Linked DNA regions of Callithrix jacchus. The protein of the gene in region 3 purifies or fractionates together with the protein of the main gene of each other region. This does not show direct contact. Links are inferred from orthologs where the notes say so. Each region holds a gene or a part of one and is shown on either strand. Other genes may lie near its edges.

Region 1 (3,646 bases), on a different chromosome or scaffold from region 3:
ATAAAGAGCAAGGCTAATGGTAACTATATGGGTAACACATGACTCTTTAATTTAAATGTCTTTAAGAAAACAGACTATTCCAGACTGGGCAACACAGCAAAACCCCATCTCTATAAAAATATAAAAAATTAGTTGGGCATGGTGGAGCAATGCCTGTGGTTCCAGCTGTTCAGGAGGCTGAGGTGGGAAGATCACCTGACCCTGGGAAGTCGAGGCTATAGTGCGCCATGATCATGTCACTGAGCTCCAGTCTGGGAGACAGAGGAGAACTTATCTCAAAAAATAAAATAAAAATAAGAGACCATAGCACAAAAGCTGGGAGGAAAGAAATGGAATGTCAATTTTATCTCAATAAAAATTATTTTAAAAATTAAAAGACTAGGCCGGGCACAGTGGCTCATGACTGTAATCCCAGCACTTTGGGAGGCCAAGATGGGTGGATCATGAGGTCAGGAGTTCAAGACCAGCCTGGTCAAGATGGTGAAACCTTGTCTCTACTGAAAATACAAAAATTAGCCAGGTGCGGTGGCATATGCCTGTAATCCCAGCTACTTGGGAGGCTGAGGTAGGAGAATGACTTGAACCCAGGAGGCGGAGGTTGCAGTAGCCAAGATCGCACTACTGCACTCTAGCCTGGACAACAAGAATGAGACTCTGTCTCAAAAAAAAAAATTTAAATGTCAATATTATAACTCCTTATTATCCTATATTCTCCTCTTTCTTTTTTTTTATTTTTTTAATTTTTATTTTTTTTGAGACAGGGTCTCACTCTTGACCTCCTGGGCTCAGGTCATCCTCCCACCTCAGCCTTCCCAAGTAGCTGGGATTACAGGTGAATGCCATCACACTCAGCTCATTTTATTTCTTGTAGAGATGGAGTCTCACTATATTGCACAGGCTGGTCTCAAACTCTTGGCCTCAACTGATTCTCCCACCTCAGCCTCCCAAAGTGCTGGGATTATAGGCGTGAGCCACCGCACCTGACCTATTCTCTTTTTCCTAAAAAGTTCCTGGCCAGGTGTGGTGGCTCACACCTGTAATCCCAGCACTTCGAGAGGCTGAGGATCACCTGAGGTCAGGAGTTCAAGAACAGCCTGGCCAAGATGAGGAAACCCCATGTTAACTACAAATACAAAAATTAGCTAAACGTGGTGGTGCACGCTTGTAATACCAACTACTCGGGAGGCTGAGGCAGGAGAATTCCCTAAATCCGGGAGGTGGAGGTGGAGAGTGCAGTGAACTGAGATCGCGCCATTGCACATTAGCCTGAGTGACAGAGCGGGACTCCATCTCAAAACAAAACAAAACAAAAAAAAAAGCACAAATCACAAATAGCTGTGAAAGCATACTTGTAGGATGGAGTTAAAACAGATGAAATGAATGAAAGAAGTCTGTATAAGAAACACATGACAGCCGGGTGCGGTCGCTCATGCTTGTAATCCCAGCACTTTGGGAGGCCAAAGTGAACGGATCATGAGGTCAGGAGTTAGAGGCCAGCCTGACTATCATGGTGAAACCCTATCTCTACTAAAAATACAAAAATTAGCTGGGCATGGTGGCATGCGTCTGTAATCCCAGCTACTCAGGAGGCTGAGGCAAGAGAATCACTTGAACCCAGGAAGCAGAGGTTGCAGTGAGCCAAGATCGGGCCACTACACTCCAGCCTGGGTGACAGAGCAAGACTCTGTCTCAAAAAAAAAAGAAAGAAAGAAAGAAACACATGACTTACCTGACTTATGACTTACTCCTCTCGACGCTTACAGAGAAATCTGTGAAGAGGCTCTATGGCCATACCTTATCTGGCATGGATGAGACTGGGGTTAAGAAGCCCTACTGATAGCTGGGGGTAGTAAATGCCCACTTTCTGAACAGTGAGATCACCAATGTGATTTCCCTGCTCAACTCCCAGAACAAAAGCAGCCAGGTCTGTGCCACTCATACAGGAATAAGGAAGTAAAGAGCAGAAGTGATAACAGGTAAGAATATCAGCCTCTGGGAAGTGAAGATGAGGCAGAGAGGAGAATAACATATATGACAGTTGCTTTCTGTTAGAGGACTTTCAGTATGACTTTTCACACTACATTCATGCATTTTTGAGGAATCTTAAAGACAATCATTATGTTTAAATCATTTGCTTTGATAAAAGGTTTTTGTTTTCACATCTTCTTTCCTTTGACTAAAAAAAATTTCAGAAAATTGCAGTTAATAAAAGGCACAGGCCGGGCACGGTGGCTCAAGCCTGTAATCCCAGCACTTTGGGAGGCCGAGACGGGTGGATCACGAGGTCAAGAGATCGAGACCATTCTGGTCAACATGGTGAAACCCCGTCTCTATTAAAAATACAAAAAAATAGCTGGGCACAGTGGCGTGTGCCTGTAATCCCAGCTACTCGGGAGGCTGAGGCAGGAGAATTGCCTGAACCCGGGAGGCGGAGGTTGCGGTGAGCCGAGATTGCGCCATAGCACTCCAGCCTGGGTAACAAGAGCGAAACTCCGTCTCAAAAAATAAAAATAAAAAATAAATAAATAAATAAATAAATAAAAGGCACAAACAAATCAACAGGTATATACCAGTGGAAAACACAATATAAAACTCAAAATGCCATCGGCTTCTTTAGTTGGTAAAGAACACAAAATGTAACAGACCGAACAGGCAGAAACAGTTTGCTTCAAACAAATTAAAAAGCTATGTGTTTTTCAAATTCTCCCCAAGTTGGATATACACACACCCACAAAAATAGTGTGTGAAGGAAAGCTTTCATACACAAGAAGTTGTAACCTGAATTATTCAAGGAAAAGCATGTTGAAATAGGAATTAACAGTAAGCCACAGATTAATAATTTTTTAATTAAATCTTAAAATCCTACATGGCTCTAAGCAATACAACATAAAGTACTGCTAAGTACAAAGGAAAAAGTCTGCACAGCTTTTAGCAAAAATGCTTTTCCAAAAAATTAAAATAATACAGTAACTTTTCATACCTGTGTCAGAAAATCCTATTTATCTACAACAGACTGAAATTTCAGGACAAAACAGAGACTTTTAACGTTAATTCTTACTTTACCCATTTTAAATTCTGTGATAAACGGTTTTTTAATTGGATTAACACAGTACATGCCAAAGTTCATATTGTGTAGCTGTTTTTGTTAATCTGTATGTCATTTTCATCCTTACCTTCTTCCCACCTGGCTTCACCACAGTGAAAACTTCACTCCAGATCTGAATCCCAGTGGTTTCTGGATCAGAACCCCCTCTCCATGAAAATCCTGTTAATGGTTCTTCTGGGTCACCCAACCAATTTGAACGGCCACTTTCCTTCTGCAGAAGAAGTAAGAAATTTCCATTAAATCTTAATTGAAAATTTTTTGCATCAAGGATAATCTATGAGCTTATTTTGCTTTTTTGAACATTAAAGTCTCACTTTTTACTTGAAATAAAATAATTCTATCTTACCTGAGAATATAAGTATCGTAGCATAAAATCCAGAATGAAAGACTTGCCCTTTCGGAAGGCACCAGCCACTGAAACCACCACCACATCAAGATCTCGGATGTGGTCCTGCAAGAGGATGCTGGCCAAGGCTTTCTCATCTAGCTCAAAGGAATGTTGTTCTTTCTGAACCAAAACAACCTGCACTGGTTCCGGCT
Region 2 (4,172 bases), on a different chromosome or scaffold from region 3:
TTTTGAGATGGGGTTTCACTTTTGCTGCCCAGGCTGGTGTGCAATGGCGGGTTCTTGGCTCACTGTAACCTCCACCTCTTGGGTTCAAGGATTTTCCTGCCTCGGCCTCCCAAGTAGCTGGGATTACAGGCCTGGACCGTCACATCCAGCTAATTTTTTGTATTTTTAGTAGAGACAGCGTTTCTCCATTTCAGTCAGCCTGGTCTTAAACTCCCGACCTCAGGTGACCCACCTGCCTTGGCCTCCCAAAGTGCCGCTTTGGTTTTTTACTCTGAATTTGAATGTCTTTATATTGGCCTTGCACTTTCTAGTACTCTAAGATCCCCACCAATCCCTGTGGTCCTGGCTCTTAAGGCTTTTGTGTTTTTGACCCCTTAAGTTTCATTCAAGTTCAGTTTCGAATGTCTCATTCCAAAGGTCAGAAAGACTGGGCTAAAGTCTAAGTCGTGCATTAACCTTATTGTAACGGTTAAAAAATTAAAAAGATTGAATTTTCCCAGTTGCCAAAAGGATGAGACATTCCCCCACACCATTTCTTAAAAACTTTTCTTGAGCAAATTGTGATTATAATCTGTGCGTGTGTGTGTGTGTGTGTGTGTGTGTGTGTGTGTCTTTTTAAAAGCTAAATACCCAGGTACAAATAAAAAAATAAAAAATAAATAAGCCTCTTGTCAGATAAAAACCAGGAATTTTTTCCTAAGGTCCCAGGAGCCAACTCCTTGAAATGTAGGTATCAAGATAGCGCCCCTGTGTTCCACACTGCAGGAGTTAATCTAAGCACCTTGCTCCAAGCTTTAAATACCTGTTTGTCACAGAGATAACGTTTTATTTTTCCTTTGGATAAAGGCAACTAGCCAACACAGACGGCCACTCCAAGGGTAAACTACCAAAAAATTGAATACGAAACTATGTCAACTCGTCTTCCACGAGTACATGCGTGTGCTTTGGCTACATAAAAGATGAGATTTTCGTCTCTCTTTGCAATCTTATTAGTGGATTGCCTGTGACACCATTCCAGTCTGGTTCGATGCTTACAGAATAATACAACTTTTTTTCCTTTTCTACATTTGTTTAGATTTTCTAGGACGGCAGATTTTATTTTCTTTTTATTTTTTCTCGACAATATCAATTTGTTTAGGTCCCTTACTTTTACTAGCCACCCCCTTCCCACCTGCTTTCAATGGCAAATTAGAATGGTGGCTTGCCCCTTGCTCACCTCTTGCTTGACTTTGGGAAGCGGTGAAAAACTGCAACCCGTGGGCAGTAAGAACCACGATTCCCAGCATTCCCAGCGCTCCGAGTCCTTTGAACTTCCTTTTCCGGGTCTCGAGGCTGCTGAAACCGAAAGTGCTGTGCTGTGGGCGCAGCGCCGAGATTGATTCACCTTCACCTGCAGAACTCCAGCTGACCCACGTAGGAAGCCAGGCAAGCTGTAAAACATGAACGGAAGAGTGGATTATTTGGTCACTGAAGAAGAAATCAATCTTACCAGAGGACCCTCAGGTATGTGCGGAACAGGTCATTATCGGATAGTAGGGGATTAGAGGAGGTAATTGCCGACACCTCTGCTGCTGAGCGGGATTCACCTGGCCTCGGGGCAGGCAGGCCCCAACCTAGAGGTTTCCTGCAAAGCTTTGGGGTGCTTAGAGAAAATATATTGAATTCCATCATTAGCCAGATACGGGTCTGAGGAATCCACCTCAAAATCCAGTCGGGTGGCCACAAATATATATAGTCAAAAAGGGGTTCTTTCTGCAAATCCTGCTAGAAAAGCCTTTTTTAAAGCCTGCTTTTTTTAGACAGCTTACCTTGGGCACCACATCCTTCCGTTGCCTGTTCTATCACTCCCCCTACGAGGGATCGTTTAGTAAATTGGGAGCATAAACGGTGTGAACTCTGAATGCATAGCCGTTTTCCTCCAGCTGGGAACCCTTCCTCGCTCCTTTCGTTTCTGGGAAATTCATTTAGAGCGTCAACTAGAATGTTAAATCACGAAGAGCCCTTAGAAATCTTTTATTTACACAGTTTCCCTAACTTGGTTCTGCCACCAAATTACCCAGGGCTTTTTGGTTTTGCCTTTTATTTAAAAAATAAAAAAAGTTTAATTCCTGTGTCATTTGCAGGGATTTGGATTCAAAATGGGTGTGTCTGTGTGTATGTGTGTGTGTGTGTGTGTGAGTGTGTGTGTGTATATATATATATATATATATATATATTTTTTTTTTTTTTGTAATGAACACCTCATGTGATTTTGAGTAGCCAAACTGCTATCCTCTTCCTCCACTGAGGCTCTTCATTAAACCCGGCTCTTGACGTTACTGCGTTCTGCCTTCTATGGACTTTGTTGACTTTCCTTTACAGCTGTTTAGTTCATTGGTTAAAAGCTTTAGCTTTGGAATTACAGTATCTGGGTCCAAATCTTCTAACCTCTTACTGGTTCTTTGGTACTTATTGGCTATCTTAAGTGATGTAAGCCTTAGTTTACCATTTCTAAAATGGGGATGGTTGTAAATACACTTCGTAATGTTGTGAGAATGATGGAAAATGTTTACAACATTGCCAGACCCATGGTAGGCAGTGTCTCCTATTGTTATTGTTAATGGATGAATGGCTTAACTGACACAGTAAATTCTAATATTGTATTCCAAGAGTCTTTAATAAATCATCAAGTACTATGAGCTTCATTTCTGAAATGTTCCTGAAATTATTTCACTGCTATTTCCATTGCCACTACGTAAGGCAGTGCATCACCTTTTCTCATCTGCAGTTCTGCAGTAGCCTAATCATCATGGATAGATTATTCTTTATAAAATAGGACTTTCAGAATTACCCATACGTTGTGTCTTCTCTTCTTTTCTTTTCTTTTTTTTCTTTTTTGAGACAGGATCTCACTCTGTTGCCCAGGCTGGAGTGTAGTGGCACGATCCGAACTCACTGCAGCCTCTCCCTCCCAGGCTCAAGCAATCCTCCCATCTCAGCCTTTTGCGTAACTGGTACCACAGGTATACACTGCCATGTCTGGCTAATTTTTTTGCATTTTTAATAGAGACGATGTTTCGCTATGTTGCCCAGGCTGGTTTCGAACTCCTGAGTTCAAATGATCCACCCACCTCAGCCTCCCAAAGTGCTGGGATTATAGATGTGAGCCACTGCACCTGGCCTTCCTTTCTATTATAAAAAATTGGAAGTTGGTTTTACTTATTGGAATATAACTCATCACTAATATCATTATTATTATTTGTTTTTAGAGACGAAGTCTCACTTTGTTGCCCAGCATGGTCTTGAACTCCTGGACTCAGGCAGTCTTCCTGCCTTGGCCTCCTAAAGTGCTGGAATTACAGTCGTGAGCCACCACGCCTGGCTTGTCGCTAATCTTAATGGGTTAATGTCATGCTCCATTTGTGGACCGAAATTTTAGTCAAAGGCTCATTTGGTATGCCCAAGTTTCTTGGATTCATTTTTTTGCTATTTTATATAAATTTCTCCTTCACTCACTGTTAATATTTATTGACTTTTGAGGTTAACATAGAAAGTTACTTTTAAACCAAAATCTGTTTTTCTGTACTTTTCATTCATTGATAATTTGTTTTCTTAGTACCATTTAAAACAATGCTAGTTCCTTTTCTGATTGCTGTGCAAGTAGTAAAGGCTCTAGTTGTTCTGCTCCTGTTTTGCCACTTTCTTCTTTAGCCTAAATATCTTCAGTTATTTTTTATTTTATTTTATTTTATTTTTTTGAGATGGAGTCTTGTTCTGTTGTCAGGCTGGAGCTCAGTGGTGCCATCTTGGCTTACTGCAACCTCTACCTCCCGGGTTCAAGTGATTCTTCTGCCTCAGCCTCCCGAGTTGCTGGGGCTACAGGCGCATGCCACCACACCCAGCTAAGTTTTGTATTTTTAATAGAGACGGGGTTTCACCATGTTGGCCAGGATGGTATCGATATCCTGACCTTGTGATCTGCCCGCCTTCGTCTCCCAAATTGCTGGGATTATAGGCGTGAGCCACCGTGCCCAGCTCTTCACTTATTTTATTACCTCTCGAGATGTTTGAGATTTGATTTTTGCCTTTTGTTTAAGAATTTAATGTACTTTGACATAGTCCTTTTGCTGTGGCATCCACAGTGTTTTCAGATCTCCTGTCTAAAGCAGAGCAGAACCCTGATACTATCTCTT
Region 3 (4,117 bases):
CCACACTGTTGCTCTATGGATAGCTCAGGGATGTGAAAAATGACAGCTGCTGAGGCAGAGAGGAGGGGGAGGAGGAGGAGGACACATTCTTTCTGGAGGGGGAGGTCCAGTCAAATCAGAGGGAATCCTAGGATTTAAAAAGTCCTGGTTCCAGGCGGGCACAGTGGCTCACATCTGTAATCCCAGCACTTTGGGAGGCGAGGCGGGCGGATCATGACGTCAGGCGTTCGAGACCTGCCTGGCCAACATAGTGAAACCCCATCTATACTAAAAATACAAAAATTAGTTGGGCATGGTGGGGCGCCTATAGTCCCAGCTACTGGCAGGGGTGGCTGAGGCAGGAGAATCACTTGAACCCGGGAGGTGGAGGTTGTGGTGAGCTGAGATGGTACCCCACTACACCCCAGCCTGGGCAACAGAGCAAGACTCCATCTCAAAAAGTCCTGGTTCGGGCCTGACGCGGTGGCTCACACCTGTAATCCCAGCACTTTGGAAGGCGAGGCAGGCGGATCACCCGAGGTCAGGAGTTGGAGACCATCCTGGCCAACATGGTGAAACCCCGTCTCTACTAAACATACAAAAATTAGGCGTGGTGGCACGCCCCTGTGGTCCCAGCTACTACGGAGGCTGAGGCAGAAGAATCGCTTGAACCCAGGAGGCGGAGTTTGCAGTGAGCGGAGATTTCGCCACTGCACTCCAGCCTGGCAGAGCAAGACTCCGTCTCAAAAAAAAAAAAAAATTAGCCGTGGTGGTTCATGCCTGTAATCCCAGCTACTCCAGTGCCTGAGGCAGGAGAATCGCTTAAACCCAGGAGGCAGAGGTTGTGCTGAGCCGAGATGGTGCCACTGCACTGTAGCCTGGGAAAATAATGAAACTCCGTCTTAAAAAAAAAAAAAAAAAAAAAAAAGTCCTGGTTCCTTTTTCCAGGCTTCCTAATTCCCCTCAGATGGGGCTTCTAGAGCAGGAAGGTGAGGAGTTAAGCAAGTCCTCGAGTCAGGGAGGGGCAAGAAGATCTAATTAGGCCTGTCTGTGGGGTTTTTGGTGTTTTTTTTTTTTCTTTTCTTATCCTCTGTGACTCCTTTTAAGGGAAAGGACACCTGAGCTTTGTATTGGGGGTGGGAAGATTGGCTTCCATGATGAGAAGGCAGACAGTTGCAGCCTGGGCTACAGGTCCCGTAGGGCCATTTCTCCCCTTTTCTCCTCCCGTTTCCAGTCCAGGGCCTGGGAAGCTTGGCTGTGTCTGCCTAGTGTCAATTTTGATCTCTCTCTGCTGCCATTCTTTTTTTTGAGAAGGAGTTTCGCTCTTGTTACCCAGGCTGGAGTGCAATGGCGCGATCTCGGCTCACCGCAACCTCAGCCTCCTGGGTTCAGGCAATTCTCCTGCCTCAGCCTCCTGAGTAGCTGGGATTACAGGCGCGCGCCACCGTGCCCAGCTAATTTTTTGTATTTTTAGTAGAGTCGGGGTTTCACCATGTTGACCAGGATGGTCTCGATCTCTTGACCTCGTGATCCACCCGCCTCGGCCTCCCAAAGTGCTGGGATTACAGGCATGAGCCACCGCACCCGGCCCCTCTCTGCTGCCATTCTTCTCCTAGACTGGCACGTCTGTTGGGAGGGGCCAGGTAACGGGCTTTGCCTCTGAAAGGCTAGAGAGCATGCATCCGCCTCAGCACAGGAGACGCAGCCGCCGCAGAAACAAGGGTCTCGGCCCCAAAGGAACAAACGCAGCCCACAGTCCGGAAAAGGGTGTGGCCGGCAGGGTGTGGGGGGGAGTGTGGGCCGCGGGCACTGCAGCAACCGCACCACCTCCTCCCACACCCCGCCCTCCGTCCAGCAGCCTCCTCTGCCGCTCTGCAGCCTGGCTGCTTGAAGCTCGAAGGCGGCTGCCCAACGCCTTCCGAGGGCCGGCGCTGGGTTTCAGCGGGTACCCGGGGATAAAAGCAAGAAAAGGGAGAACCGTATGGCCTTAAGTAGGTAAATAGTCTCGAGGAGGATGCGAGAGGCGAGGGAAACCCTCGAGAAGTAACGGGACCAGGATTTCTGGGAGCAGCAAAGGCGCGAGTGGCACCAAAAGCGAGAGGGGCGTTCAAGATGGCTTGGCTAGGAGGGAGAGCTTCGGCTGAGATGGGGGTTCCCAGATGTTGTTAACTGCTGTTGCCCAGGAGTAGAGGAAGAAGTCCTGACTCTGTGGAAGGATCCAGTCTGGGCGTGCGAAAGGGTGGGTGGGGAGAGTGAGCAGCCGGTCCTAAGAGTGGCGCGTCCAGTAGGCAGGCGGCTTACTGGGGAGAGAGGGGAAAGTGTGGGGCCCACTGTTGCAAGGCGGGGGAGCTGACTCTAGGCATAAGGAGAGAAAGCCCCAGACGGAAGGGGTGGAAGGGGGCTAGGCTGCACCGAGGACCGAGGGTAGTCGCTCACCCAGGCAGGTAGCTCTCGATGACTCATATAAAGAGTTTTCGCCGTGAGCTGCTCCTCGTCGTCCAGTAGCTGCCTCGCTGCTCTAAGGCTCCGTTCTTTCTCGTCGCGGACCCGGCGCCAGCCCAGATAGAGGGCGAGGCCGAAGAGCACGAAACCCACGCTGAGTCCCACTGCACCCGCCAGGTACACCGGTATCAGCACCAGCAGCCGCCTTCCGAATGAAGTCAGCACCGCCAGGGCCTCACCCGCTGCGCCAGGGCCAGCAGGTTGGCCCCCGGAACCTGGGTCTGGCTTTGCGTTAGCAGCGGGGGGCTGGTCAGTGGCGTCGGAAGGAGCAGAAGGCTGGTCCATGGGGCTGGGGCTGGGGCCCTCTCCTGGAGACCGCTCCATTGTGTCACCTCTGGGAGGATTTGCCCGACCCGGGGACCTGCTGGAGGTATCCCAGTCTTGCGACCAGCTACCCCACAGCAAAACGTGATCCCCGGGAGGGAGGAGGGGACTTCAAGCCACGCCCCTCCTTTCTGGCGATTTGGGTTGGTCTGCGCTGCACAGACCAAGGTGGAGTTAAAAGGTTGAAACTCCTCCTCTCTTCCGCGGGGAAGGGATAGGGTTTCTGATAGGTAGGGCCTCCCTGATTGGGCCCGAAGGCCAAGATGGGAGGTCTGGGATGGCGGGAAAAGGAAGAAAGGGGCTCAGAAGCGGCATTCGATTGGTAATAAAGAGGAGGAGGCGTGGTGCACCATTTCTGGAGAGGCGGGACCAAGAGCTCCCCCACGTGGGATTGGAGTGCCTGTGGTATGACGTCATGGAGAGCCGCACCGCCAATTTCTGGGTTTTGGAGAAAGCCCAAGTTGTGAAGTTGAGGGGTTGTGGATGTGTAGCCTCATGATTTCCCTCTGCTCATTCGGACAGTTTGGCAGGATTTGGTCTGGGATATCCATATGTTCTTTTTCCGACTTTCTCTACTTTTCATACTCTAAGCCCATTCCTTATCCTTCAACTTTTCCCTGCCTGCTCTTAGAAAAGGAAAGGACACGATCTTATTTGGAATGAAACTGTTTGAAGACTGACCCTGTCTATCCCGTCCCCATCCCCTGCCTTGTTTGTGTGGTGTAACGAATGACCGTGGAGAAAACTGGAGAATCAGAGAAGTACAGAGTTGAGGTAATCCAGTCTTCAGGGAAAGCGGGGGGGGGGAAGCAGAGGAGTGAATAGAAAGTGAGGCTTTATTTCTTTTTGGAAATTTCCAAGAGTTGGTAAGTCATCTCTATCATCGAGGATGGAGTAAGACTAGTTGGCTCCAAAAGGGAGGGGGGCAGTGGAAATTATTACATTTTCCAATAATTTCCTGACCCCGAGGAACTTCTAGGACAGTAAAATGAGGAATCAAGAGTAAGGGAAAGACAATTCCCTTTCTCATTTGCCTGAGTTAGAAGAAAAGTTTGCCAGTCAGGTGCAGAACTAACGTAGTTCCACAGTGTACTGTGTAGGTTTAGGAAGGAAAAAGTGCAGAGTACACTGATGACTATGGACACTAGTTAACTGGCCTTAAAGGTGGAGTGTTGTCCTGGGATCTAGGTATAAGGCTAATTGGTAGTTTAAGTATTGGTCATAAAATGATTACCTTTACTGCAGTATATATGGGCATATTATGGAACTCTGTCAGATGCAGCAGAGAACTGGGGTTGATCATTGGGGAGAA

The links.
Region 1: the proteins of ESYT1 (region 3) and ATL3 purify together in Homo sapiens (affinity purification with mass spectrometry; 3 studies listed by BioGRID and IntAct, with this or other methods). This does not show direct contact. The link is inferred for Callithrix jacchus from reciprocal best matches to the Homo sapiens genes ESYT1 and ATL3.
Region 2: the proteins of ESYT1 (region 3) and SYNJ2BP purify together in Homo sapiens (affinity purification with mass spectrometry; 4 studies listed by BioGRID and IntAct, with this or other methods). This does not show direct contact. The link is inferred for Callithrix jacchus from reciprocal best matches to the Homo sapiens genes ESYT1 and SYNJ2BP.

What each region holds. Positions count from the first base shown.
Region 1 is NC_133511.1:120,713,048-120,716,693, forward strand, and holds part of ATL3 (atlastin-3), read right to left. Parts: coding exon 3,453-3,646; intron 3,318-3,452; coding exon 3,174-3,317; intron 1-3,173. UniProt on the Homo sapiens protein: Atlastin-3 (ATL3) is a membrane-anchored GTPase that mediates the GTP-dependent fusion of endoplasmic reticulum (ER) membranes, maintaining the continuous ER network. It facilitates the formation of three-way junctions where ER tubules intersect.
Region 2 is NC_133509.1:105,382,928-105,387,099, reverse strand, and holds the start of SYNJ2BP (synaptojanin-2-binding protein), read left to right. Parts: upstream 1-1,334; 5' UTR 1,335-1,439; coding exon 1,440-1,503; intron 1,504-4,172. UniProt on the Homo sapiens protein: Regulates endocytosis of activin type 2 receptor kinases through the Ral/RALBP1-dependent pathway and may be involved in suppression of activin-induced signal transduction.
Region 3 is NC_133510.1:63,536,825-63,540,941, forward strand, and holds the start of ESYT1 (extended synaptotagmin-1), read right to left. Parts: upstream 2,899-4,117; 5' UTR 2,806-2,898; coding exon 2,416-2,805; intron 1-2,415. UniProt on the Homo sapiens protein: Binds calcium (via the C2 domains) and translocates to sites of contact between the endoplasmic reticulum and the cell membrane in response to increased cytosolic calcium levels.